Lytechinus pictus: one gene and its partners. The protein of the gene in region 1 purifies or fractionates together with the protein of each later gene. This does not show direct contact. Links are inferred from orthologs where the notes say so. Each region holds a gene or a part of one and is shown in the gene's direction. Other genes may lie near its edges. The genes, in order: peroxiredoxin-5, mitochondrial-like; peroxiredoxin-1-like; Parkinson disease protein 7 homolog; superoxide dismutase [Cu-Zn]-like.

Region 1 (7,983 bases):
AGTTCCAGCAAAAAAGTGGGGATAATCAGCTCTAAAAAGTATAGGTCTTTCCTTGATCTTATACTAGTGTTTAAACAGGCCCTTACTTTCATACACACTTTGAATTTCAAGGATTAAATTAAATCCAGGTCGGCTGTGAAGCAGCCCGGCGAAAATTTGATTCATTTAATATTTATGATTAACTTTTAAATCTAAAAAGATTTTTTTTAATCTAAAAAGATTTAAATTAAAATCTTTAATCGTTAAATTCAAATCAACGAATGTTTGGCTGGTCACTATCCGCAACCGATCTGGCCGGGTTGATTTTCAATCAGCCCAGACTTTGCATAATAAATTTTGAAATCAAATAAATTTTGAAATAAGGCAAAACAGCGCTAGATAACGATCATAACTAATTTATGCAAATTACCACATTGATTAAACTCTTATTTTATCTTAAATACTGGCAATTATATAGCCTTTATTATACAAGCCTATATAAGATCCAAACTTATGAGTGATGACCTTATTTTCAGTTTTTCTTCTTCTTCGTTTTCTTTTTTTTCTTCTTTGTCAAATTTTTCGGTAATGAACTGTACAGTTCGGATGTCCATCATTTTGGACTGATCAATGACCCTTATTATGGTTAGAGAATAAAGTGGGTCTTAAATTTTGCCCGTGATGATATAACAACATGTCATACCCCAGATAATTATAGATGGATACACAGTGGCTTAAATCCGGTCCTAGCAAAGGGGGGGGGGGGGGGAGATTGCAATAAAAGTATAGAACTAACAATTCAAAATTTGGGACACATTCACGGTTGCACCCCCAAATAAAGGGCTATATACGGGGGTATACAAATCATCTATCACTATTTTTTTTTACTTATTTATTTTTTTAAGGCTATTGTTTATCGTCAACTACAGAATTCCAGTAATGTCAGGCTGACTCATGAAAAAGGTGTGTATGTCACTGAAATAATGAAAGCTCTGGCAATATCTGGTCCGGTATATCTGGTTGACTTGCAAAGTGAATATTTTAAGAGCGATTTAATCCTTATGCTGGATAGGGATTATGTATCGCATTAACTCAATACGTGCGCCGGGAAGAGGCAAATTATGTTTTATCGAATTCTAAAAAAAAAAATTAAAAGTATTTTTTTCCACTTTGATTCTCCCTCTTTCTTTTTCTTCCCCTTTTTTATTATAAGGGTGGGGGGGGGGGCAACAGCCGCCTGAGTGGCCGGCACGTCCCCCCCAAAAAAAAAAAAGTTACCTCCCTGCTTTTCATAATTAATTTGGTATAGCCATTGGCAATGCTGAAAAATTGACCCATTATGCGTTTCAAAGTTTGGGTTAACTGATGATCTGATGAAAAAAAGGATGATCGTCAAGAGAGTGCGACTCACTATAAACAAGAAACGGGAGACATATCACAACATGGGCTTATTAGAATAATAAATAAGATAAGATATTAATTTGATAATCAATTTTTTTTGTCCCTTTTTCAGAATGGAATATCGACAAGTTTCATCTCGCGCCTAGGAAGAGAAATTTGTAGATAGTTATCATTATCATTTGATGATATAATGTTCTTAGGATGTCCCGGTCCTATGTAAGAACTCAAAGTAATAATAATGAAACATGCAGTGAATCAGCTCCTTTTTTAACTGTGATCCATATCCACCTCACAATTTTCCTACAAAGTGCTTGAAATACAGAGCTTAAATCGGGCCCTTTTCAGATCGGAATATCAAATATTTTAAGAAGCGCGAGCTTCGCGCTCGCTTTTGTGATTTGCATGATAAAAAAGATATTTATCATGCCCAGATTCTATAGGTGACAATGACAATGACAATTTTTTCTCATGTCACCCTTAAAAGGGCATTGAAGAAAGTCAGATAACAACAAAGAAATAATTTCTCAGTATCAAATACAACATATTTACATTATTTACAATATTTACATTCGAGTATACCATGCAGTCAATATATAGGCCCACAGGCAACAATTTAAGAAAAGAGATTACGTGTTTAGTGTAAAAACAAACGTATAAAAAAAGATAAAATGTGAGTAAACATAAAAAGATGAAGTAACCATTATCATGGACCTGATATTTGGAATACATTGCCAGATTCACTTAAGCTGACAAGATCATTTTATTCCTTTAAACGAACTATAAAAGAAATGCAATTAAACCAATACCTAACAAATTAAAGAAAGAAAATCATTACCATTGTTATCATTATTTCAATTAGACATTGACTTTTATCTAGAACATGTATAAATTAAAATCAAACAACAAACGTGTTATTTTCTAAAATTCCATGCTAAGGACCAAGCATCTCCCTCCCCCCCCCCCCCCCAGTCCCTCATGCACCTGCACGTTTAATGACAATATATATTAATTATTTGGCTATATTCCAGGGTTGTTACGTTTTCAAGCTTTGCTTTTTTGACGACCCTTGCAACCATTCTATTTATTGTGGAACAGAAAATACCACTTATTGATTTTCATTTATGTAAGATATGTTTGAGGATTTATGTACAAAACTATTGTTCATTATCTTGATGTCAAGTTTCAGATATGTATTTTCTTGTCCAGAATTTTGTTATGAAAAATGTTGCAAAAACCAATAAATGAAATGAAATGAAATTATGAAATATTTACAAGATCATGCATTATTCATTTTATGACTAAAACTTAGTGAAGCTTTAATATTACTGATGCGAATTTTGCTAAATTGGTGATCTGTTTCATGTTTCCTGAATTAAATAATTAATTCATTTTTAGTGTATTGGGACGTATTCTAAAAATACGGCTTGATATATTTGTGCCTCAAGTTATTCAATTTCGGACATTCAAACAAATAATGAAATTCATCTCCAAGTTTATTAAGAGTGCACAGATTGCTGTTCGATTTTGCCATTCTATTCCCGAATATCTACCCGTAACAATTGGCAAACGGTGATTTGCACATCTGAATTTTGTGAGTGCTATCCTGTAGGGAGAGGGAATTAAGTAAGCTTCAAGGCCAACCTGATTTTTGAAAATTCTATAGTTAATACATTGTGAGCTAACGTTCACAACGCTTTGCCAATTTTGCACATACGTATCTCTAAGTTTCAATTTTAATGTGGATTTCAACCAAGCATTACTAAACGATTTATTATTTGTCCAAATATTTGACATTCCAAGTTCATTTAAAGTAGACTGAAAGAATTTTACCCAAGAAGAGGAATATATGCCAAGATCATGAAGTATTTTCAAAATTTTACCAGAAATAGTTGAATATTTAACTTTTTCTCACTTATATAGTTCTCGACCAAAAATTAACCATTCTTTCTTTAGCAATAATCGATATTTCAAATCTGCCCAGTTCACCGAGAGCCATACAGTTCAGTGAACCTTTTCTTAGTCTTAAAATTTGTTTGGAATATTGCATATGCATAATTTCAATATGCTTCAAATTTTCGAAGCCCCAGATTTCACACCCGTATTAAAATAGGTACAACTGATTTGTAAAAAAAGATCTAATTGAATATCTAAAGGCAATCTTAATTTTCTTTATTTCATAATTAAACTGTACATGGCCCTTTTAGCTTGAGTAATTTGGGTTTTTTTGAGCTTTTTTAAAACTATTAACTCCTGAAGACACATTTCTAGTACAGTAAGTGTATTGATTTCCTTGCTATACAGAATTTTGTTTGTAATTTAAAAGTTTAAAGTGTTCATAAAATGAAGCAATGTCAACCGAAGAAGTATCTTTACTATTAACTTATTATCAAAGGACAAGTCCACCCCAATAAAAAGTTGATTTGAATAAAAAGAGAAAAAAAAAACAAGCATTACACTGAAAATTTCAGCGAAATCGGATGTAAAATAAGAAAGTTATGACATTTCGAAGTTTCGCTTCATTTAATTCACAAAACAGTTCTATGCACAATATCCTGGTTGGTATGCAGATGAGAAGTCTGATGACGTCATCCACTCACTATTTCTTTTGTATTTTATTGTATGAAATATGAAATAATCTAATTTTCTCCTCATTGTCAAGTGAAACAACGATTAATTCCTCCCTGAACGCGTGGAATTATAGCATTGCTATACGATATGGTTCAGTCAAGTTGGTCCTCGATCACTGTCAAATCTGTGAAAAAAGAAATATTGTATAATTCAAACAATAAAGAACAAAATAAATAGTGAGAGAGGGACATCATCGTCTGGCTCATTTGCATGTCACTGAGTTGTGCATATGACTGTTTTGTGAAAAATAAGCGAAACTTTAAAATGTACATATATAACTTTCTTATTTTACATCCGATTTTGATGAAATTTTCAGCGTTATGCTTGTTTGATTTTTCTCTATTCATTCAAATCAACGTTTTTCAGGGGTGGACTTGTCCTTTAATAATAAGTTAATAGCAAAGATACTTCTCTGGTTGATATTGCTTCATTTTATGAACACTTAAACTCTTAGGATCCCAAAGATTGCTCAGAATGTTAAATTTTAGGACAAAATACAGTCATGAAATAAAAATAAGCTCGTGCTTCGCTCTCGCACTATATATAAATAAGGCTTATGAGATTATTATATATTTATGTTTATTTATAAGAAAAAAGCTTAGACATGACTATTAGGACCACCCCTTCAAAGAAACATACAAAAATCAACCCTTGGATTTGCGTTCAGTTCATCATCAAAGTGGGAAAGTGCTAGTGGGCGGTGCCCTGAAAATAGGGAATTCCCCGAGATTACATAACAGCTGATACGCGCCCACTAAATAATTTGATGAACCCTTTAATACAGCAATTCATAATCACTTAATTAAAAACAGAACATTTTCAATTGTTTGAATATTGAAGAAAAGATGTAAATATCATCAAAATTATGAATTCAATCAAGCAGCACATGTCAATATGAAAATGTGGGTGCAAAATGGTCCGGGGAAATGGTATTATTCCCCTGAAGTCTGTAGCCTGCCTGGGCCTGAGAATTATGGAGGCATCCATATAGGCGAGGAGGTTCACATGGCAAGCCCTTGCCTGCACGTACGCCGTTATCCGGAGCTCAGCTCGACATTCGGCCGCGCCGCGAAGAGCGGGGCTGGCCGCTAGGCTATCGAACTGTATGCATGCCGCGCAGGGCATAACGGCATAAGGTATTGCGCGAGAATGTTTAGCCTCCGAAGAGCCGTCCTTTTCAATTGCTTACGGAGTTTTTCATCTGGTTCACCAAGAAAGATGCCAATCAAGGTAAATACTAACTAGATTATTAAAGAAAGGTGTGCTACACCATACGAACAGATATCAGAACATATTCGTACTCATTTATCATATTATTATCATGATTTTAGTCGGGATTATTTTAGTCACCCGTCATGCCCGTCGGCCGTCGACGGCGAAGCTCAATTCCAAGTCAAGACCCTACTCCCTAGAATTTAGACTCGAGTGTTAGACCTGGGGAGCGTTTCTGCCGTTTCATCAACATTTTTGTCCGACAAATTGTCAGATCTGACATCTTTTTTTGAATCTGATTTGCTTCTTCTTCATCGTCTTCTTCATCCTACACTGACTGCCTCCTTCAATCCTGAAGATTCTTGCAGTATTGTAGTACCGGGGGCCGGCAGGTGCAATACACCGGGTGAACACCCTACTCTTTGACTTAGAAGGACTGTTATTATGGTAACTGTCGGAGGGTTCGATTCCCACTTCCCAAGTGGTGCGCTAGTGCCCCTTGCCCTTGGTAAGGCATTTATCCTCATTACCAGGTCCCTCGGAGAGGACTTTAAGCCGTTGGTCCCCTGGTTGCTTGCTCATAGGCCTCCGTGCTTTCCTAGCAGTCAGGTAAAAAACCTCGGTATAAACCGTCCGACAACGGCGACAAGTCCTTTCATGAAATGCTCCCCTGGCCAAAAGGCAATAATCAATTGAACATTGGGTGCTCTTGGTGGGGTAAACTGTCCATAATTTTCCCTTGATAAAGAAAAGAAATATCTGAAAATGTCCATGCTTTGTTGCTTACAACGTAGTTCAGTGTAAAATTTCAATGTGGGAAGATTATTAAGAATAAGACCGAGTCTGAGAGTGAGAGATAAAGCCGAGTCAAGTTGACGATTACCGTACTATTTCAATTTAGATCTCCATGTAAATTGTCTTGGTTTGTCTTAATTTCACATGTTTTTTGGTTAGACCTATATATCTCTCTTGTGTTTCTCTTCCTTATTCTTTATTTATACTGTGCAAGTTATCCGGAAACATATCATGAACATACTATTAACTGTTATATGTTGCTTGAATAATATTTATTCATCATTTTTATTAGGTTGGTGATGCTGTGCCTAGTGTAGAAGTGTGTGAGAACACACCAGGTGATAAAGTGAATGTAGAAGAACTTTTCAAGGGAAAGACTGGAGTGTTGTTTGCCGTTCCGGGAGCGTTCACTCCAGGATGTTCAAAGGTGAGAAAAAGGGTTGCTGAACCAATGTCCGTTGGGGTCCTATTACATGAAGCTTAGTGATTGTATGGCTTGTCTGTGCAAGTCTGTGCAGTCCCCCTTGTCTGCGCACATGCGTATCTGCACGATTCTAGTAAAAGAAGATCACAACGAACACAAAATTTACACATGCACCACATAGACGATATTCATTAAAAAATCCGACTCAAAATGTTGGAAAAATAATGAATTTGGGGCATTTCGTGTGACGGCCTCAAAATGCTGCCTTTCTCATCAAAACGCCTGAATCGTGGGCAAAGTGAATGGGTGCGCAGACATGGGGTACCATTTTTTTTTCAATCTGAAAATGACTGCCCAAGGTTTTTTCTAAGAAAATCCTATATTTCTTTCAAATTTTAATGAGATATTTGTTACACTTACTCATGGTAATATAGGGAACATTATTAACGGAAAGAATTTGTGAAATAAAAAGAAGTTCATGTTAAATCGTTAGGTGCACAGACTTGGGGACCACCATTATAGGTAGGCCTAAGGCTGATATCAATGCAATCTCTCATAGAAATCGGTCAGTTTTAGGTTAGGGTTTAGAAATTTGCCAATTTCTATAACTCTACTCACTGACTCTAGATACTCGCTAATGATATACAAAGAATGGTTTTCTCTCAAAGAAAGTAATGTGGAATTTGTAAATTACCATGAAATTTGAACTGGGGGGGGGGTGAGTCTTGGATAATGCTCAGTATCTTTGTAGAACCATTTCACAAGCATAAAAATGGGCGGAGGGGAGGAGACGTAGCATAATAATAGCAGCATAATATCTTTCTGTGAATTATAAGAGTTTACTCTGTACTAGAAGTATATATCCTGGCTTTACACTCGCTATTGTGAGAGAAGAGTTCACATTGAAAAGAAATTACATGTGTATTTACGTTGAATAAATAAAAGAAAAAAGCCATATTTAAAGAAGATATGAGTTTTCAATTCTGTGGTTAATTTCAAATCATACAGTTTATGCCTTTGGCTATCACATTCACAGTTCACTTCTTATAAAAATAATCCTTTGATGAGTGGATGTATGAAACTAATAAAATTGTACCATGATTTTTCAAAAGATTAAGATATACTGGTAGGGTGGTGGTTTTTTTTTCATCTCAACGCACTGCCACAAATTGTTGAAACTGTATATGCCTGCCTGTGTCTTTTAATGCTTCCTAGTGCCATTATTATAAAATCAATATTGCATCAGTGACACTATGGTACCCTTTAAATATATGAAAAATACTAGTATATAAATAATAGTAAATAAATAGGTGTTTTTATGAAAACTGAACACTATGATACTGCATCAGCTATGGGACTAATTCTGAGCAATGTCATATTCTACTTGTAATTTTTTTCACAGACTCATCTGCCAGGCTACGTTGGTGACTTTGATAAACTCAAAGCTAAAGGTGCAGAAGTCATCGCCTGTGTGTCCGTCAATGACCCCTTTGTAATGGCTGCATGGGGGGAAGCACATAAAGCTGAAGGCAAGGTAATTCTAT
Region 2 (7,085 bases), on another chromosome or scaffold:
TACATAATTTATTAAATCCATCCCAATATGGTTTTCGCAAATTTCATTCTGCTGATCTAGCTCTTGTTGATCTTTATGATAAAATTTCTTCTCTTTTAGCAAAAAAGGAACATGTAATTTGTGTTTTCATGGACTTAAGTAAAGCGTTCGATACCCTGGATCATACTATATTGCTTTACAAATTAAAATATTTTGGTGTTAGAAGTACTACTCTTAATTGGTTTAATAGTTATATTTCAAATAGGCAACAATTTACATGTATAAATTCAGTAAGTTCTAATTCACAGTATATTAATTGTGGTGTGCCTCAAGGCTCAATTCTGGGCCCGCTTTTATTTCTTCTGTATATAAATGACATAGTATATTCTTCACCCTTATTACAATATATTCTGTATGCTGATGACACAACAGTTATTTCTTCAAACTCGAATAAAAGAATGCTTTTTGAAATGTTGAATAATGAATTGCCCAAAATATCCACATGGTTCCAAAGTAATAAATTGTCTTTAAATTTGCAAAAAAACATATTATATTGATTTCAAGAACTCCAAAACAATAGCTAATCATTATACAGAAGAAATAAAGATAAGTGGGATTTCTATCGGACAAAAAAATAATGTGAGATTTTTAGGTGTCATTCTAGATGAGTTTTTAACATGTGATGACCATGTATCTAAAATATTGACGTCTGTATCAAGATGTATAGGTATAATGTTTAAAGTTAAACACTATTTACCTCCTCAAGCATTACTCTCAATTTATAATTCTATTTTACTTCCACATATCACTTATTGCAATATTGTATGGGGCTCATTCAAATAAAAAAATCACCATATCCTTTTACTTCAAAAGAAAGCTATTCGTTTGTGTGCCGACGCTGGTTTTTATGAAAATACTGGTCCCCTCTTTAACCGTTTCAAGACTTTAAAATTGATGATATACATAAATTTCAAATTGCTTTGTTTATGTTTAAGTTTCACTGTCGCCAATTACCATTAACATTTGATCATATGTTCCTTTTGAATTCGTTTATTCATAAATATCCTACGAGAACCTCAACAAATTTACATTTATAAAATCCGCTAACTGCCTTAGCCCATAGGTCAATAAGACATACTGGTCCAGATACCTGGAATGATATAGCTTTAACAATACGTGGTGCTCCTACATTGAACAAATTTAAGTTTGAGTTTAAGCATTCCATTATTAGCACTTATTTGAGTTAAGATATTGTTCTATCATCAGTTTCATGACTTTCATCTTATTGCATACTTTATTTTTTGTATTATTTTATACGACGTATCTATGTTAAACATAGTAATATTAATCGATACACGGCTGGTGTGTTATTATCATTTGATTTATTCTTGACATGCTTGATGTGTTTTCCTTTTGGCCCTGCTTTTACTGTAATTTTTAAATATGACTTATATTGATTTTATTCAGGGCCGTAGTCTTTCTTGAGGGGCGTCCTTTTCAAGCCTTGTGCTTATGACTGTTCCCTCCCATGCAATGATTGTTTATTGTTATTTTACCATGAGATATTGTCAATATATTTTCTGTTGTATGATTTATTTTTGCATGGAAATAAAGAATCAATCAATCAATCAATCAATATTCTTTTGAGAAACTAAATTGTCATGATACTACCCTCACTATCATGTGAACATAAAATTGGGTATAAAAGAAATCTACCTGTCTTCAATTTTTTCTATATATTCTTTTAAAAATTATCATTGTGGACCTAACCCCTTTTGCAAGTAAACTGAAATGAATCCAATCTATTTTGATTAAAAAGGTGATTTTTCTTTGCCACTTTTATTCATGTTTTCATGTAAATTTCAAATTGTCTTTGTTTTCATCAAAGCGACTAAAAATTTAGAGGTTTGAGACAGAAAACAATAGCATTTATGAACAATGGACCTACCCCCTTTTGACAAATGAGCTCTTCAGAAGAGTTTGTTTGCAAAAGGGGCTAGGTCCACTCCAAGAAAATATTTTTTTTTAATTCTCCTATATTGCATATTCTTATGCGAAACTAAATTTTAAAGATTCCCTACCATGACAACATAAAATTGGGTATAAAAGAAATCTACCTTTATTCATATTTTTTAATATATTCTTTTCCAAAAAAAAAATCGGTGTTGACCTAACCCCTTTTGCAACTAAACTAAAATGGACCTAACCCCTTTTGAAAAAAAAGTGATTTTTCTTTGCCATTTTTGATCACTTTCAAATAGGAATTTCAACTTTTCTTTGGTATCATCTTATAGAGCTACTAAAAATCTATACATTGAGACCAAAAAATCAGATTTGATGAAAAATTGACCTAACCCCTTTTGCAAGTGAGCTCTTCATAATTTATACATTTTCCGTGATGTGATAATTTCACACCACTTGAAAGATGTTTTTGGACATCATATTTTGTCTCCAACTATTAGGCCTACTCGATGGCACGCATATTGATATTAATTGTAAATCATTACATATGCCATTAAAAAAAAATCGTTCTTGATCTGTCGATGGTAGTATTATGTTCATGGTCCCATACCCCCGTATACATGCCTACATAGCCCTTGGTGTTGGGGTGTCCCAAAATTTTTGAATTTTCAGATCAATATATTGCTTCACCCCCCCCCCATGCACAGCTCGGACTGGATTTACGCCAGTCATTCTTTTTATTTTTCAGTATGTCTTGAGGTTTGTCAAATATAAATCAGTCTATCATCCACTTTCAAAGAACAAACAGTCAGTCAATCAATCAATCTATCAATCAATAACGAACACTCAATCAACCTGTCTATCAATCTATCACTAAACCAAAAGCCCTAAATCATAATTATGTTTGGTTTTACGGCTTCAGTATACAGCACCGTTCGCGTCCGAAACAAATCCGAGTATACCGTCCGGGGAGTCCGGGGGATTGACCCTACATGAAGCCCATCAAGTTATCCTGCCCTGCTTGCTACCAAGTCACTGTGATCATCATGAATTACTTTGAAACAACTTTCATTTTCTTTGAAAATGACCGGTAGAGAAAAGGAGAAGTCAGACAAGCAGGTAAGAGAAAGTTGTGAACACTCGGGCTAAACGATCAAGGGGACATTATAGCCAGGGGTAGGTCTATAAACCCTGGAAAGGTGGTCTCCCATGCAGATGACTGACATTTAATAAATATTGTGTCAAGCCATTAAAAAAAAACAAATGAGCAAAGCAACCGTGCTCACCAAAAGGGATTTTTTGCATTTTTATTGCTGAAATTTTAAATATTTGGTGAAATATTTTTTAATTTATTAAGCGCTTCCCTATTTTTTAAATGTACTTCTTGAGTTATTAATTAATTAATCAATTATTTATTTATTTATTCATTTATTTATTTATTTATTTATTTATTCATTTATTTATGTATTTATTTATTCATTCATTTTATTTAACTATTTTTTTTCCGATATTTATTCATTCAATTTTATTTCTTCGTCTCATTCTTCTTCTCTTCTCCTGCTCTTTTTCCTTTTCCTTTTTCTTCTTCTTCTTCTTCTTCTCTATGTGTTTCTGCTACTAATTCTTCTTCTTTTTCATTATCTTCATCTTCTATAATTATGCTTCGTCTTTATCAAGCAGTCAATCAACCGAATTGAAAATAATTTTTAAGGGATTCGTTAAAACGTATTTGAGGTTTCTAATCTTTCGCTATTGTTATTTGTGGCTTCACAAATAAAATACATCAGTCTATTTATATTAATTAATTTTCATTCATTTCATACTATAGTCGTATGTTTATTATAAGAAAAATCTGCTTTCCAAATGCGCTCTATGTACTTCTACAAAAAACATCAACAATGAATCAATCAATCAATCGAACCCATTGAATAAACTTTCGTATATTTATTTTTTGAAATAATTGTTTAATAGAAATAACTTAAATTCTGTTCAAGGTTTCTTTCTTGATATTCATTTGTCATTATTGTATTTTGTCAATCAATCAACTTTTATTGAACAATGAATGAGAGAAGTCTAGCGCCATCTACTGGTATACTGCAATTTTGTGGACGTGCTCGCTCTGGCATAATAATGTGCATGCATTGCTGGGCCAAGCGCTCGGCATCCCGCTCCAGCGCCCGCGTAGCTTTCCATATCACCCAACGCGCCGTTCGCCCAGGCCAGCTAGCTGCCCGCCGCGTATATATTTAGCACGAGTATTCACTTCGACTTCATTCGAGCACTGCGGCAGAGCCGAAGAGAGTAGAAACAGTCTTAAATTTCTTCTTTTGAAACCGTGAGTATTCTACTTTCTTATGTTTAAACGGTTGGTAAAATTCAATCTTCTAGAAGAAAAAAATGAGGAATGGATGGTGACTTGGGCTTTTGATTAAAAAACGCGAAATTTGTGAGAGGGTGAACGAAAAGTTGACTGTCATTTCAATTTTTGCTTGCATAAGATGTGTGTTGCACGTGGGTGAATGCCGGGTTGTCGTGTTTCAAGTGCAATCGGGCATTATTTTTCTTTGTTGGTTCCAATTCATGTTCTTTTGTGTGATGCATAGGAGATTTCATGGGGTTCCTATGCATTTTAATCATTGTGAATGTGATTTTTTTCCAGGGGTAGTATTCTGAGATCATATTATCTTCTAAAAAATATTTTATATTTTAAAAAGAAATTGATTGATGATTCAGTGAATTGGTAATTTTAGTGACATTTTTCTCAAATTTGAATTTTATGATTTTTTTCCTTGCATATCTGATATGCGACCTTTTTAATTAGAGCAGTGTCTGTGTAGGAATTGTGTATCTTACCATTACAATGCGGATGATATGCTTTGGCCCAGGCCCATGTTGTTACATTGAAACTGAAACTTGAAAGAAAGATAAAGTAACCCGTGGAGGTTATTATCTCCGCGATGCTCTTGGTGAATTAGCTCCAAATGTTAAAATGAAATGATAATGAAGAAAAATAACATTATCATTGAGTCTGAGAATAATACCTTAACATTATTCCTGAAGAATAAGTAAATATTTCTTCATGTGACTTTTCTGAAATGATGCTGTAATGACGTGATATTGACAAAGAAAAAAACACTGAATATTGTAATTTCTAAAAATTTGTAAAAAAGAAATCTCTAAAAATGTGCAAGCGTATAGTGCAAGTGCATTTTTAATTCAATAAATACAATACATTGATGCAATTTTGCTCCTTTGCCACACCTAGCGGAATGGATTTTTATTGGTTGAATGAGCTGAGAGAGCTACATGTATGATGTATAAAACAGTATTTTTCAATCTCATTGGATGTTGCTTCAAAAATAGACCGTGTGTCTTACAGACGTAAAATAAAGATGAAATGGTTGTCAGACCAATTCAGAGATATTCTAAGGGTACATGTATTTTATCTCAGTGATTTTAAAGGAGATGAAATATTTTATTTTATCTGAGATAAAATTGATCTCTGAATACCACCACAGACCAGTACCCCAGACTCTCACTTAACTCGCTAGACCGTTAAGACAAGCAGACAAAGGCAATTGGCATCTGTGACGCGTGGTCCAAACCTGTGGTCTGTGGAAAGAAAACTCTTTTTTTGTTGTTTTTTTTACAAGTAGTTTTTTATTTTGCTTATTATTTTTTTTTTTTGGAGAGTTGGGGGGGGGGGGGGGATCACATGTACTGTTTGTGCTTGTCCATTGCCATTGCTGTTGAGTAATGCATTTTCAGATCTTGCCCCTTCCCAAATGCCAAATACATAGCCATAGGCCCGATACCATAGCCATCAGTGTTTCCACTCTTCCCGAAATTTTGGGAAATTTTTACTTTTTCCAGGAAAGGTTTGGAAAATGAAAAAATTCCAGGAAATTCTGGGAAATCTGAAAATTACAATTAAACAACAATTAAATGTAGCAACTTTTAAAATTCATGTTATATTTAAAGAATTGTTTACCTCAATACTTAGCTCAAAAGTTTTCGTGCGGAGCATCCATTGTAATTTTGGTCCTATTTTTAAAGAGGGCGTGAACAAAAATGTGCTATATTCCTTGATTTGGGTCACATGGACCAACTTTAGGCTGGCTGTATTATTGCCCAATTTTTTTTAGAAATCATACTTAAAAATTCCAGGAAATGTCTATGAATTTTGGGAAATTTATTTTGGATCTGTGGAAACACTGGCCATCATGTACAAATTGTCCATTATTCTTACTGAATTTCACCTTAAAAAAAAAAAACTTGGTGTACTTTGTCGCAGCTTTATAAATGATAGACTTAGATTTTCAAAGTGGGCAAGGTGGCAGGGTAGTTTTCCCTGCTTTAGTTTTTGTCCACAGCATCTCACGACATCGCCAAAAATCTGCCACAATCATATCAAGCAATATTCAAGAATATTTAGAAAGTCAATATTCTACAATTTACATACATGTATGGGAGGATGATAATATTGGCAGATTATTATTTCTTGTTGCAAATAAATAAATAGCCCTTCAAATGAAAAAATTCCCCCCCCCAAAAAAAAAAAAATTAGCAATATCCCCAAAATGACAAAAATAGCCCCTTAAACGAAATTTTACCCCGATGTCTTGACTTTGTTGTGTTTCATTGGCTTTACACAGTGACTATCTCAATCTTTTTTTTCAATCTCATTCACAGGAAAGAAGCTGTAATATAAATCAAAGATGGCAGGTAAGGCACGTGTACAAGAACCAGCTCCTTACTTTGAGGGTACAGCAGTCAGCGCAGGCCCGGATAGTGACTTTGTCCAAATCAAATTATCAGATTACAAAGGTAATTAACAACTAATTCCAGTTCTTGAGTCAGAGCCTTTTTTTGCGCAATATCAATTCATGTTTTGAAGTTACTGCAATGTTATTTGGGTATTCGATTTGCCAAAGTTAATCGAGTTGTGCCCTTTTCATTTTGCACAAAAAAGCAGGGCAGCTCTGATGGTGAATTAAATGACATCAAATTGTCAGATTATTACAGAGGTAACTACAACCAATTCTAGTTGTTACCTTACCTAAAATTAAAAAAAGACAGCCCTCAAAACTCTGCCATCTCCCCAATGTGGGAAAACCAGAACCAAGATGGAGCCATAGGGCAAG
Region 3 (7,588 bases), on another chromosome or scaffold:
AAATTCTACAGCCATTATCAAGATGGCACATCAACCCAAACGTCAGTTAACCAGTCATACCGGAACTCGATCCAGAGGCATTATATAAAATTATCAGCCATAAGTTATAATCGTTCGTAGTTACTGAGATGACATATGATTTTTACACTTTTATCTTGTCAACTCTTGTCTTTATTCCTAAGAAATGTAGAATTAATCCAAATACTTTGAAAATGAAGGAACTGTTTAATTTAAAATGTAAAGATGTTTAAACAGTGGCGTACCGTGGGTCACGGCATTGGGGGGGCACCAGCAAAAATTATGAGTCACTTATAGAACGCGCGAAGCGCGCTCAGTTGCTAGGTATACTGACATAATAGGGACATTTAAAGGACAGTGTCATTAAACGGATATGTATCTCACTGATCACATAATGCGAGCGCGAAGCGCGAGCTGAAATTTTTGTATATATCGACCCCAAACGGACATTTTAAGGACTATATTTTAGGAATGCATTAAGAGTATACATATCTCACCATAATCATCTAATGCGAGTACAAAGCGCTTGCTGATATTGTTAGAATAATATACATCTAAACACATGAAGCACTTGTAGTCATTGTAATCATGATTAACATACGCATCTCACTAATCAAATATTGCGAGCGCGAAGCGCGAGCTGAAAATTTAGGAAAGTCAGACCTGAAGAGGGATATTTCAAGGCTTGTTTGTAGGAATTCACGTAGATCATACGTAGTTCACTAACCAAATGATGCGAGCGCGAAGCGCGAGCTGAAATTTTTGTATATATTGACCCAAAAGAGGGATAAGGACTATTTATTTTTTTAAAGGATTCCATTAAGAGTACAGATATCTCACCATAGTCATCTGATGCGAGTGCCAAGCGAATGCTGATTTTGTTAGAATTACATCTAAACACATGAATCACTTTTTGTAGTCATTGTTATCATGATTATCATACGCATCGCAGAAATCAAATATTGCGAGCGCGAAGCGCGAGCTGAAAATTTAGGAAATTCAGACCTGAAGAGGGGCATTCTAAGGCCTGCTTTTAGGAACTCACGAAGACCATGCGTATTTCACTAACCAAATGATGCGAGCGCGAAGCGCAAGCTGAAATTTTTTACATTCAGATCAGAAAAAGGGACATTTTAAGGACTGATTTTAGAAAATTCATGAAGAACAGACATATCTCACCAATCCACGAATGCGAACGTAAGTACGGACAGGAAATGGTTTATATTAAGACCTTAAAATCGGGCAATCACTTTAAGTAGTCATGAAAAAAAAGTATATGTCACTACATAAAACAATAATAATTCGAAGTCTAAGAAAATATATTTGGTGTATATTGACTTGAAAACGGGAGGTTTTAGTACAAGAAGATTATATATATTGTTAAACAGACAATGCGAGCACCAGGAACAATGAAGACTAGGCCCTGTGCAAATTATGTTTCATAAAGTTATAATTTATTTATGTAATATAACATAAGATAATCATAATATAATATAACATTATAATTAACAATAATTTCTTCTTTCCCATTACGTTTCTTTCCCTTTCTCCCTCTTTTTCTCCTTTTCCCCGTTTTTTTTTTTTTTTTTTTTTTTGGCCAGCCGATTGGGGGGGCACGTGCCCCCCATGCCCCCCCGTAGTTACGCCACTGTGTTTAAACTTGCTAGGTTAAAGTGATGTCATAAAAGTTTAGTAGGTAAATTTACAAGTGTAAAGTGTAAGATATGTTCTTACCTCATTATTTCATATTTATTTTTATTCTAATTGTTCTTATATTCTTGTACTTAGACGGTACCTCATTTCATGTGTTGGCTTTAAACTGCCAATTTGTGATTGTTGTAAGTTATATTTCTCCGATATAGCTCGGAAGGGATTGAAAGAAATAAAATTAATTCATTTCATATCATATTATCACAAATTTTAATAGGCTTATCATGTGTCAGTCTTGTTAACGGGTTCCATTCAATTCGTAAGTAAGGAAGGGTATACAAGCCATTAGCACCTTAGAGGTTATTTTTTTATACCGCATGTATTTATGAAATAAATACCTTATATCACAGCTCATTAGATGAATTCCTCATCACACCTTATATGGTATGGGTTCCTTATACCAAACACTGACAGGTGAATTCCTTGTAATGCATCTTATATGATGGATTACTTATAACAAACCCTGTAAGATGAATTCCCTATATCACATCTTATAAGATGAATTCCTATACCACAACTTATAAGATTGGTTACTTGTACCAAACCCTATGAAATTAACTCTTCATACCACACCTTATAAAATGGGTTCCTTATACCAAACACAGATGAATTCCTTATACACTCCTTATAAGATGGGTTCCTTGTACCAAACCCTGTAAGATGAGTTCCTTATACTGCACCTTATATTTTCCTCATATCACATCGTATAAGATATGTTCCTGTACATTACACTTTATGCATTGGATCCATTCAATCAAAGTATACTTTATATGCATATTTTTATTTGTATTAATTATGGAAACAAAAAGAGAAGACTGTGGAATAATAATGCAAGGACAGCATGGATATATACACTCACATTCAAATTCAAATTCAGTTTTATTTCCAACAGAACAACGTTTGATACAAATTATGATTTGATGTTGGATAAATTGTATGATACTGTTTTTCATGATATCTTGATTTGTTATAATGTTATAATTTGTTAATTGGATGTGTATTTAATTTTGTATTGTGAAACATTTTTCAATTCAGCTGTCAAACAGCTGCGCTCATGTTTTAATAAATCTTGAATTGAATCAAATTGAATTTACGTGTCAATATATTTATACTTTAGTGAGATACTGAAACTGATTTCTTTGCTATATGATTAAATCTTCTCAAATCTCTATCATTATGTTCGTATCTTATCTCAATCCGGATCTTGTTGTTAAAAATCAAGTCTACCCCCAAAAAATATCGATTTTAATCATTAAAGAAAAATCAGACTAGCATAACGCTGAAAACTTTTATCAAAATTGGGGTGTAAAATAGAAAAGTTGTGACATTTAAAAGTTTCGCTTATTTTCACAAAACAGTGATATACCCAATTATGGGACATGGAAATAAGACAGTCCATAATGTCCCTCACTCACTATTTCTTTTGCTTTTTATTGTTTGAATTAAGGACCAACTTGACTGAACCATATAGTATTAAACAATGCCAATTCCACATGTTCAGGGAAGAATGAATTGTAGTGGCTTGGCAATGAGGAGAAAATTTGAATATTTCATATAATAAATACAAAAGAAACAGTGAGCGGATGACGTTATCAGTCATCCCATTTGCATACCGACCAGGATCTGTGCATATGACTGTTTTGTGAAATTAAGAGAAACTTTAAAATGTCATAACTTTCTTATTTTAAAGGGGGAGTGAACTGTGTTGGTCTCTCATTGACAGTGTGTTATAAATGCATAGTCTTAAAATATACGTTTTCAAATATCTACAGAGAGTAAATTGATCTATAATTGTATTTGTAGTAGAGAGACTAAAATGTTATGAGAGGAAAAGTAATTGGTTTGCTACTTGGTAACACTCATTGCGGTATAAATGTATATTGAGTAGTTAATTAGCATGTTATCATTCAAGTGGGTCTATATTACTAGACTACACTAGCATTATGGGTCAGGAAACTGGCCAGGTATGAGTAGTTGAGGACTCGAGATTGCGCTATTGGTTCGTATCTGCTTTAAATCCTATTTTGATGAAATTTTAAATGTTATGCTTGTTGAATTTTTCTCTTTCTATTTTTGTTGGGGTGCACTAGTGTATCATTAATATATCACGTTTCTAAAAACAGATTTTAAAAAAGGGTGGTGGTCACAATATAAAGCGATCATGGAAACCGATACAATTTTTTACTGAGATTAGTAAGACAAATACCAAGTGGCATAAAACCAAGAATAAATAGATACATATTACAGAAAAGTGAGGTTTGGGATATGAAGAGGGCCGTTGCAAGATTGATTTCTTGATTTAAAATGAAAGTCAGTCTGGATGTGTTATGTAATTTAATCATTCATACACGTCTGTTAAAAAATTCTCAAAATTATGCACATATTGATAGAAAAGAGGTATTCTTATACAGATTTTGCAATGAAAATAAATGGGTTCAACATAACTAGTAAAAATTGATATCAAGCATTATTGTAAACAAACGATAAACAATCTTCACAACCTAGCTTATGCTGGAGAGTTGATATATATGATATAATCTCAATCCGATTTCCATATGAAATGTACGAAATCATTGATGTATTATAAAAGTTAAAGGAAAATTCTGTATATGGAACTTTGATGAAATTGAAATTTGATGCTGGAAGAAAGGACACATCTCACCGAGAGATATACATTAAACAAAACATAATAATAGCAGGGCCCGCTGGTAGAACAGTTTTCGAAACTGAAGTGGCTTCCCTGGGTAAATATACCTATATTATTATTATTATTATTATATTACGATATTCGTTCCGCTGTCAATATTTCTCACTTGTCCCCTTGTTTTCTCCATCCTCAGCACCCGGCGTTCCATAGAACTATCATAATATCTCGAAAAGATTTTGCATTCATATTGATTAAGAAGAAAAAAAACAGCAAAAAAAGTAATCTTTAGATATTTTGATTCTTCATAAGTTTGCACTAATTGCCTGGATAGTTCAATGAACATATACGGTAAATAAAACCAGATGGCACGTGGCGTTCCATATCACTTTCACACATTTTCTCGAAATCACTTCAAAGTTCACTCCGAAAATCGATCCGAAATCGATATCGTAACTTGGCTTTCATAATGTCTGTGATGCTGATTTTGGCTCCCGGAGCGGAGGAGATGGAAACTGTCATTCCAGTTGATGTTCTGAGACGTGCTGAGGTAAAGAGATGGTTGAAATGCCGTCAACATGAGAATAATATTTTTCACCCATCTGGCCGGGGGTAGCTGAGGAGCTACTGCGGGCCTCTGCCCAGCCCCAGAAGCTCCGCCGGCGAAGGTGGGGGAACTCAAGGGTGTGGATCCGATGAATACTTGCGAGGGAAATAAGTTATTATTATTGATTTGAGTCAGTAATGGAGAATAATATGACTGTTTTTGCCACTGCTTTAATTTGGAGCCTTCTTTGACTTTGAGAGGATGAAAAGCTTCTTTACTTTCATCTAAGCTTGTAACCGATTTTGCAATCGGCAACCGATTCCATTCGATTTCACCACAATCGGCAATCACTTGCCGATCTTCGATCATGCCCCTTGAAGGAAAAAATCGAAAATAAAAAATCGGCGTAGATCTGGTTACAGTGCGTGATTGTTTTTGAGGTGCTAGCTATTTAGAGGTCGCATTATTCAGGGAGAAAGACGCGGTATTATCTATGGCGATGTTTAAGATGATAGATATCTTCTCTTCCGCTTCTCTTCCAACTCATGGTGATAGCGGATGCCGCCGTGAACTTTGAAAGGTCGTATTACCGATGGAGCTCACTGCGTTACTCTCTTACATCGTTTATGATTATATACATTTTATTTTCAACCTCGTGGTGATAGCGGATGCCGCCGTGAACTTCGAAAGGTCGTATTACCGACGGAGCTCACTGCGCTACTCTCTTACCCCCTTTATAATGATATAAATCTTCTCTTCAACCTCGTGGTGATAGCGGACCCCGCCATAAACTTTTAAAGACTGTACTATTGACGGAGCTTATTGCGTTACTCTCTTACATCATTTATGATGATATACATTTTATTTTCAACCTCGTGGTGATAGCGGACCCCGCCGTGAACTTTTAAAGATCGTGCTACTGACGGAGCTCATTGCGTTACTCTCTTACATCGTTTATAATGATATAAATCTTCTCTTCAACCTCGTGGTGATAGCGGACCCCGCCATAAACTTTTAAAGACTGTACTATTGACGGAGCTTATTGCGTTGCTCTCTTACATCGTTTATGATGATATTAATTTTATTTTCAACCTCGTGGTGATAGCGGAAGCCGCCGTGAACTTTGAAAGGTCGTATTACCGACGGAGCTCACTGCGCTACTCTCTAACCCCGTTTATAATGATATAAATCTTCTCTTCAACCTCGTGGTGATAGCGGACCCCGCCATAAACTTTTAAAGACTGTACTATTGACGGAGCTTATTGCGTTACTCTCTTACATCGTTTATGATGATATACATTTTATTTTCAACCTCGTGGTGATAGCGGATGCCGCCGTGAACTTTGAAAGGTCGTACTATTGACGGAGCTCATTGCGTTACTCTCTTACATCGTTTATGATGATTTACATTTTATTTTCAACCTCGTGGTGATAGCGGACCCCGCCGTGAACTTTTAAAGATCGTGCTACTGACGGAGCTTATTGCGTTACTCTCTTACATCGTTTATGATGATATACATTTTATTTTCAACCTCGTGGTGATAGCGGATGCCGCCGTGAACTTTGAAAGGTCGTATTACCGACGGAGCTCACTGCGTTACTCTCTTACATCGTTTATGATGATATACATTTTATTTTCAACCTCGTGGTGATAGCGGACCCCGCCGTGAACTTTTAAAGATCGTGCTACTGACGGAGCTTATTGCGTTACTCTCTTACATCGTTTATGATGATATACATTTTATTTTCAACCTCGTGGTGATAGCGGACCCCGCCGTGAACTTTTAAAGATCGTGCTACTGACGGAGCTTATTGCGTTACTCTCTTACATCGTTTATGATGATATACATTTTATTTTCAACCTCGTGGTGATAGCGGATGCCGCCGTGAACTTTGAAAGGTCGTATTACCGACGGAGCTCACTGCGTTACTCTCTTACATCGTTTATGATGATATACATTTTATTTTCAACCTCGTGGTGATAGCGGACCCCGCCGTGAACTTTTAAAGATCGTGCTACTGACGGAGCTTATTGCGTTACTCTCTTACATCGTTTATGATGATATACATTTTATTTTCAACCTCGTGGTGATAGCGGATGCCGCCGTGAACTTTGAAAGGTCGTATTACCGACGGAGCTCACTGCGTTACTCTCTTACATCGTTTATGATGATATACATTTTATTTTCAACCTCGTGGTGATAGCGGATGCCGCCGTGAACTTTGAAAGGTCGTACTATTGACGGAGCTCATTGCGTTACTCTCTTACATCGTTTATGATGATTTACATTTTATTTTCAACCTCGTGGTGATTGCGGACCCCGCCGTGAACTTTTAAAGATCGTGCTACTGACGGAGCTTATTGCGTTACTCTCTTACATCGTTTATGATGATATACATTTTATTTTCAACCTCGTGGTGATAGCGGATGCCGCCGTGAACTTTGAAAGGTCGTATTACCGACGGAGCTCACTGCGTTACTCTCTTACATCGTTTATGATGATATACATTTTATTTTCAACCTCGTGGTGATAGCGGATGCCGCCGTGAACTTTGAAAGGTCGTATTACCGACGGAGCTCACTGCGCTACTCTCTTACCCCCTTTATAATGATATAAATCTTATCTTCAACCTCGTGGTGATAGCGGACCCCGCCGTGAACTTCAAAT
Region 4 (7,072 bases), on another chromosome or scaffold:
TTCACAGAACAGTTATATGCACATCCTGGCTGGTATGCAAATGAGGAGACTATGAGGTCATCCACTCACTATTTCTTTTGTATTTTATTATGTGAAATATGAAATATTCAAATTTTCTCATTGTCAAGTGATAAAACAATTAATTCCTCCCTGAACATGTGGAATTAGCATGTGGTTCAGTCAAGTTGGTCCTTATTGTCAAATATCTAAAAAATGAAATATTGTATAATTCAAACAAAAAACAAAACAAATAGTGAGTGATGGACATCATCGACTGAGTGACCTACTTATGCTTATCACTGTTTTGTGAGAAATAGTGAAACTTTAAAATGTCATAACTTTCTTATTTTACATCCGATTTTGATGAAATTTTCAGCACTATGCTAGTTTGATTTTCTCTATGCAAGAAAGCATTTTCCTGGGGTGGACTTGACCTTTAACATTTGGTCATATTGCCATTTAACCCATTTACTAGTTTGCCTAATTTCTAGTTAGGTCCTACCCAAATATTGATTTGGTTCAAAACCTCTTAGTCTATGGCCCGTATTCTGAAGTCAGGTTTAATTTAGACCATGGTCTAACTCTGCTAAAATTATGGGAAGCCAAACGTGTCAAAATTCTTATTAAGTTGTATGTTTCTTATGTTCACTGTACAATCATCTATGTATACTTTCTAGACAATTATGAATGATTTGAGAGCCAAATGAACTGAAATATGATATCTCTAATGTTAGTGATTTATGTAAAAATTGGCTATCCATACTTCAACCAAATGAGTGCCTATAAATACCCTTAGGAAGCAAGATTAAATTTAGATAAATCAAATACAGTAACCCTGCATGAGAAAAATTTCATAATATATGAATAATTTTCTGGCTGTTGGTGCAAGATGAAAGGCATGGAATTTTCGTAACATTGTTACATAAAGGAAATATTGGACCAATTTCATTAAGAGTTGCGACTATGATGGTAACTTTGCCATTATCATGGAAACTACCATGGTTGTGATTGGCTGCTGAGCCCTGTTACCATGGTAGTTGCCAAAATGACAAAGTTCTTTGGAGTTGTAACTTGTGAAATTGGACCCAGATGTACGCCACACACAAGATTGGGATGGTATACAGTGGAAAGTAACGGTGGGAATAAATGAACGTATATGTAGAACTAAAATACAATTGTGCAGTAGAGGAAGGGGGAAGGGAGAGCGACTGAAAGAAAGGGGAGAAGAGGGGGAATATTGGAGGAGGGGAAGGGAAAAGGTGAGGGAGGGAGGGAGAGAGAGGATGATACAGAGGGGGGGGGGGGTGAGGGAGAGAGAGGATGAGACAGAGGGGGGGGGGGTGAGGGAGAGAGAGGATGAGACAGAGGGGGGGGGTGAGGGAGAGAGAGGATGAGACAGAGGGGGGGGGGTGAGGGAGAGAGAGGATGAGACAGAGGGGGGGTGGATATAGCGACAGGGCAGCCTGAGAGATATAGGGGAGAGGCAATTAAGGTGAATGAGTGAGGGGATTAAGATGGGGGGGGGTACTGGAAGAGCGCCTGTTCTGAGGGAGAAAGGTTGGGGGGGCTAGAGATCTCAAGAAAATTGTAGGGAAAAAAAGAGGCATCTTCTTGTTGCTAACATGGGGTATAGAAATGTTGCATTATATACTTTTCAAAGCCAAGTTTTACACATCTCATTTGAAGCAGATTGGTGTCCTCATCAATATAACACCAATGTAATGAAAATGGGACTGCATTTCCGAACGGAGGATGACTCTTCATTTTTAGGCCACGCCTCGATTTTAAAAAAAATATATATTTTTTTTTTTTTTGTCCCGTGCATTATATCATAAAATGCACTATATAGCTGTCATATATAAGCCTGGCCGGGGCCTATACTCACCCAATTTTCTATATGGTAGGCCTACATGTCTTTGATCGAGCACGCAACGTTATTCTGCTAATGAGATATGCAAAACTTGATTCTGAAATCCCTCTATATCGGGCTCTATATAGAAGCCTATACCTTCAATTGCAAAATACTTAAGCATATACATCTACCCCCGGACTCTGAAGTTGCAGGAATCATTCTCGGGCCGAGCTCGCCGAGAGCTCATTGGAGGTACTTACACAGATTACTTTACTGACCATAGCCAAATGGGCAGCAAATTATGCCTACGTGCATGTCATTCTGGTAAATTTCTCAATTAAAGGGATGGTCCGGGCTGAAAGTATTTATAGCTTAAAGGGGAATCCAACCCAAATAAAAACTTGTTTTTATAAGGAAAAGAAATATCAGACAAGTTGATAGGTGAAAGTTTGAACAATATTGGACAAACAACAAGAAAGTTATGAATTTTTAAAAGTTGTAAATATTGGTAATCACTATACCCACGGAGACTTCAAATTGGCCGCATATGGGATGTCATAGTGATGTAAGGCAAGGACTACTCTTCCATGTACTCCAATACATATTATGGCTAAAATGTCATTTTTCCCAAAAGTTTTATTTCAAATTATATTTTTCTTTCATGAGGACATAAAACAATATACTACCTGGGTTATATTTAGATTACTGCCACAGGGGAATGGGTACTTAGGAGAAAACCACAAATCCTTGATAATAAAGTACATGGCCTATGGGAAAGTTGTCCTTGCCCCTTGTCATAATTTACTTACCCAGTTGCCAATTTGAAATCTACATAGTACTAGTGATCTCAATTTTAAAGCAGCTATAACATTCTTATTGCTTGTCCGATTTCTTTTAGACTTTCTCCATTCTGTTTAATTTATTTTTCTCCTTCCCAACACAACATTTTATGGCCAAGGCTGGATTCCCCTTTAATAAATAGAGTAGAATTCACTGAGCTAAATGCCGAAAATTTCATCAATTTCGGATAACAAATAAAGTTATTGAATTTTAAATTTTAGCAATATTTTGTGAAAACAGTCGTCATGAATATTCATTAGGGTACCGGTAGGAAGTAATTCCTTAAAAAGCTGTGTGCGCTATGAACGCCTAGCTTAGCCGGGTAATATAGGAGCGCCTTGAGCACCTAACAAGGTGGATATGTGCGCAATTTAAATACCCTATATTATTATGTGGGCTGATGATGTCACATCCCCACTTGTTCTTTTGTATTTATTATATGAAATTAGGTTTATTCAAATTTTTACCTCGAAGAACTAGAAAAATTGGATTTACAACTGATTTAGTGCATAAGATATTTATTGCTGCATCTTATTTCATTATAAGGGAGACATATTATTCACACAAGTATGAAATAATGAAAAAATTATGATTGTATGTGATAACATAGAAAACGGAAAGGGGAGATGTGACATCATCAGTCCCCCACATTCATGACGACTGTTTTCACAAAATATTGCTAAACTTTAAACTTCAATAACTTTATCATTTGTTATACCGAGGTTGTTTTACCTGACTGCTAAGAAAGCATGAATGCCTTTGAGCAAGCAACCAGGGGACCAACGGCTTAAGGTCCTCTCCGAGGGACCTGGTAATGAGGATAAATGCCTTACCAAAGGGCACTAGCGCACCACTTGGGAATCGAACCCTGGTCACCGGACCGAAACCCCGCTCTACCGACTGAGCTATCGCGCCTCCCCTTTATCCGATTTTGATGAAATTTTCGGCATTTTGCTCAGTGAATTCTACTCATTTTCAGCCCGGACGATCCCTTTCCCAACTCCTAATAAAGCAAGCAATTACCAAGCAAACCCAACATAAACTCTTTAATTTACGAATCTCATTTCTTTTCCCTCATCATCTCCCCCTCCCCCTTTTTTGGCTTGTCCTGGAAATTTTGGGGCCCTAATCGATCCCAATTACTAGGCCTACTCGACTTGATATTGACTTCCCACTCCCCCCCCCCCCCCCCGTGGTCGCTGTTGGAATTTTGGGGCCCACCTCCCCCCCCCCCCCCGTTTTTACGCCAGTATTCTAATAATTGAATCCAATTAAAGAATTAGAAAATGAAAACAAAAATAAATGTGAAGTCTCAATGTTACCCTCACCCCCCCCCCCCCCCCCTCTAATTCGGTAGCCGCGCTGCTGCGTATACGTCGCAATAGTCAGCAGCAGGCTCGTTGGTGTATGCCCAATTTTCGCCAATAAATTCTATAGGCACATTCACTGTACTTTTCACAATACGTGTTCTTTTGATACCAGGATCGCAGTCCATATTTAAAAAAGAAGAATTTTTCAAACCCGCTTCAACAGCTAGAGGTTACTATAAATGTTTTGCACACGCCACGCAAAAATAAAGCACAACGAGGTAAAGCCCGGAGCTAGGCCAGTGCTGGCCGGCCTAGCGTAGCTCCTGAGATTCCTACCCAGCTCGGCCCCGGTACACGTGTTTGTACGGCCGTAAACAACTAGTCAAGTGCATCTAGTACCGTGTGCAAAGACCAGACAAAAACTGACTGAGCCTGCTGGACAATCTCGCCAAGTTCTTCGTTTTAAACCGTAAATTAAAAGAAGAATCATGTCTGTACTTGCAGTTTGCACTCTTGCCGGACCTGGAGAAGTAAAGGGGGTCATCAACTTTGAGGCTAAAGAGGTATCTATCGGTCTGTAGTCTCTTAATTTTTGAGGAAAAGAAAACTGATGTCTTGATGATGACTGAGTCAATGACTGGCATGAAAATGACTGGCATTTTGTAATCATGCATGCATTCCATGGCCATGCCCATGGCAGCCACTCAACTTGTGATAGATAGGCCTCACGTTAAATGAAAAATAAATAATCCAAACTGTGCAAATAATGTTGAATGTCGACTCCCATGATGACTTATGACTGTGACTATGATGAGTATGATTATGATATGACTTTATGAGGCATGAAGAAGGCCAGGCATCACCTGGTTGGGGGAGGGGGGGGGGGCATTCATGATTTACTATGATAGTTGATGCAAGTTCTGAGCTTTTCTGTCTGAGAAATGGTGGTAAAACACGTGGTCATTCCTTAAAGCTAGAGAAAAGATATTCACGTCTTGACGTGCGTAAATTTTTTCTTTGCTAACCGAGTGATAGATGTGTGGAACAGTCTCCCAGAAGATGTAGGTACCGGTTCTGCTTGTTCAGTGATTGCATTTAAGAATAGACTGGATACCGATAGGCATTGGGAGAAGATTGCCTATGATTTTGAGTGATTTTCGATTCTCGTGTGTTCTCATGGAATTGTTTTGCTGTCTACGATACCCCTGCCACCCCTCCCTGCCAACATAAGTAGCACACCTAATTTTGTCTGAAGGAGAGCCGCAATAGACTTTCTACTTTGATCGATGAACAGGCTTAGTCCTACAAGTACAACATCGTTGGAGTAAACTAAACGAACAAATTGTATTTTGATTGATTGGGTGTGATGTGTGTCACATTAACCCTAGCTGCAGCTGACTTTCAAAGTCTTCAGTTTTCAGCATTTCATTTCAAGCCCATTTTCACTGAACTATTCCGGGGGGCACTCGAACACAAAAGTGGTAGGTAGACTGCATGTAGACCCACTCATTCAATGTCAATGAACAAGGTTATGATATAACCTAAAGTTATAGACTCTATATGAAATATTGTGTAATTCAAACAATAAAAATCAAAAGAAATAGTGAGTGAGGGACATCATTTACTCTCTTATTTACATGTCACTGAGTTGCGCATATAATAACTTTTGTGAAAAGTAAGCAAAACTTTAATATGTCGTCCATGTAGGTCTTATTTTACATCAAATTTTGATGAAATTTTCATTGGTGTACTTGTTTGAATTTTCTCTATTTATTCAAATCAACAGTTTTCTGGGTTGGACTTATTAAAGTAGATCTAGCATCTATCGGGCTACAGTATCTGCAATGCACCATGCAATCAATGACTTGTGCTGGATCTGGGTATCAGAACGCAAAGGCATGTGATACATATTTGAAACAACATTTCCCAAGGGTCATTAATTAATGCTTTAAAGGAAATGCAAGCGTCAAGCAAATGCCAGCAGGCAGTGAGCAATTGCTTGAGCTTACTAGTAAAAACCTTTTGCTTGCAAGCAATTGCTCATTTTTTATGCATACACAAGTAAAAACCAAGCAAAAGCAATTGCTAGTTTTTATGCATCCAAGCCATTATGATTCTAAAAGAAAAAATTTAAGGAAAATCAGCTTTGACTGAATTTGACTAAACCTTAACCTGTTTATGCACAGGCACCATTAAAGTCAGTTGTAGTAGAATCTAAAAAGGGAAAAATTGAGTTTGAACAAATCCAACAGATAAATAAACAATTGAATGATTATCTTAGATTCACTACAGTGATTATCTCTATTCAACTTGTACCTTGGTTTCAAAGGATAATATAAAGCCTTGTTAATTGTTCAGTTATGTGAATTATACTTCAGTAAATATGCCAGTCTCACCGAAGTGTACATGTACAGTATATATAGCCACTGAATCCTTTTTCAAACGCCGATTCTCTGAAAATTTCAATTATTCAAATCTTAGATACCTTCATTTTATTAGATATTAGGGATTTTTGTGTTCCTCTTCAAAAAGGGTACTTGGAAACACTCGTCTTAAACCTTAGTACTTCGATATCAGAAAGCCACATAAAAAAGATAATGTTCTGAAAATTTCAGCCAATTCCATGCTTTGGATTTGGAATATATTTTGTATTAACCAAAAAAAAAAGGAAAAAAAGCATTTGATCAGGCACCCGATCATGATAAATTTGTATACAGTGTACATGTAAATGAGCAAAATTTAGCTTGGAAAACACATTGTCATTTCATATTATCCTCCACTTCGTAATACATGTAGTTTTAGGGCATACACATATCCATGTAGTAGTAATGACTTCGAATAGTAATACATGTGGATACATTTGGGGGAATTTTACCAACTTTAATAGGTAAAGGCAGACTTTGATGTTGGGGGGAAAAATATGCAGGTACCAGGCATGTATACTACCTTTTTTATCCCCCACCAGTACTGTACCAGTAGTTATGTGTGTACTTCCTTTATCTTTTTATCTATTAAAAAGGAGGGGGAGGGGACCATCAGTAGTACCGGTACCTGCCGATTCCAATTGTTT

The links.
Region 2: the proteins of peroxiredoxin-5, mitochondrial-like (region 1) and peroxiredoxin-1-like fractionate together in Homo sapiens (co-fractionation; 3 studies listed by BioGRID). This does not show direct contact. The link is inferred for Lytechinus pictus from reciprocal best matches to the Homo sapiens genes PRDX5 and PRDX1.
Region 3: the proteins of peroxiredoxin-5, mitochondrial-like (region 1) and Parkinson disease protein 7 homolog fractionate together in Homo sapiens (co-fractionation; 3 studies listed by BioGRID). This does not show direct contact. The link is inferred for Lytechinus pictus from reciprocal best matches to the Homo sapiens genes PRDX5 and PARK7.
Region 4: the proteins of peroxiredoxin-5, mitochondrial-like (region 1) and superoxide dismutase [Cu-Zn]-like fractionate together in Homo sapiens (co-fractionation; 3 studies listed by BioGRID and IntAct, with this or other methods). This does not show direct contact. The link is inferred for Lytechinus pictus from reciprocal best matches to the Homo sapiens genes PRDX5 and SOD1.

Annotation. Positions count from the first base shown.
Region 1 is NC_087251.1:47,420,252-47,428,234, forward strand, and holds the start of peroxiredoxin-5, mitochondrial-like, read left to right. Parts: upstream 1-4,976; 5' UTR 4,977-5,157; coding exon 5,158-5,238; intron 5,239-6,307; coding exon 6,308-6,442; intron 6,443-7,841; coding exon 7,842-7,973; intron 7,974-7,983. UniProt on the Homo sapiens protein: Thiol-specific peroxidase that catalyzes the reduction of hydrogen peroxide and organic hydroperoxides to water and alcohols, respectively.
Region 2 is NC_087255.1:28,701,253-28,708,337, reverse strand, and holds the start of peroxiredoxin-1-like, read left to right. Parts: upstream 1-4,065; 5' UTR 4,066-4,276; intron 4,277-6,633; 5' UTR 6,634-6,659; coding exon 6,660-6,768; intron 6,769-7,085. UniProt on the Homo sapiens protein: Thiol-specific peroxidase that catalyzes the reduction of hydrogen peroxide and organic hydroperoxides to water and alcohols, respectively.
Region 3 is NC_087258.1:19,054,186-19,061,773, forward strand, and holds the start of Parkinson disease protein 7 homolog, read left to right. Parts: upstream 1-4,583; 5' UTR 4,584-4,841; coding exon 4,842-4,922; intron 4,923-7,588. UniProt on the Homo sapiens protein: Multifunctional protein with controversial molecular function which plays an important role in cell protection against oxidative stress and cell death acting as oxidative stress sensor and redox-sensitive chaperone and protease.
Region 4 is NC_087248.1:24,272,922-24,279,993, forward strand, and holds the start of superoxide dismutase [Cu-Zn]-like, read left to right. Parts: upstream 1-4,047; 5' UTR 4,048-4,490; coding exon 4,491-4,565; intron 4,566-7,072. UniProt on the Homo sapiens protein: Destroys radicals which are normally produced within the cells and which are toxic to biological systems.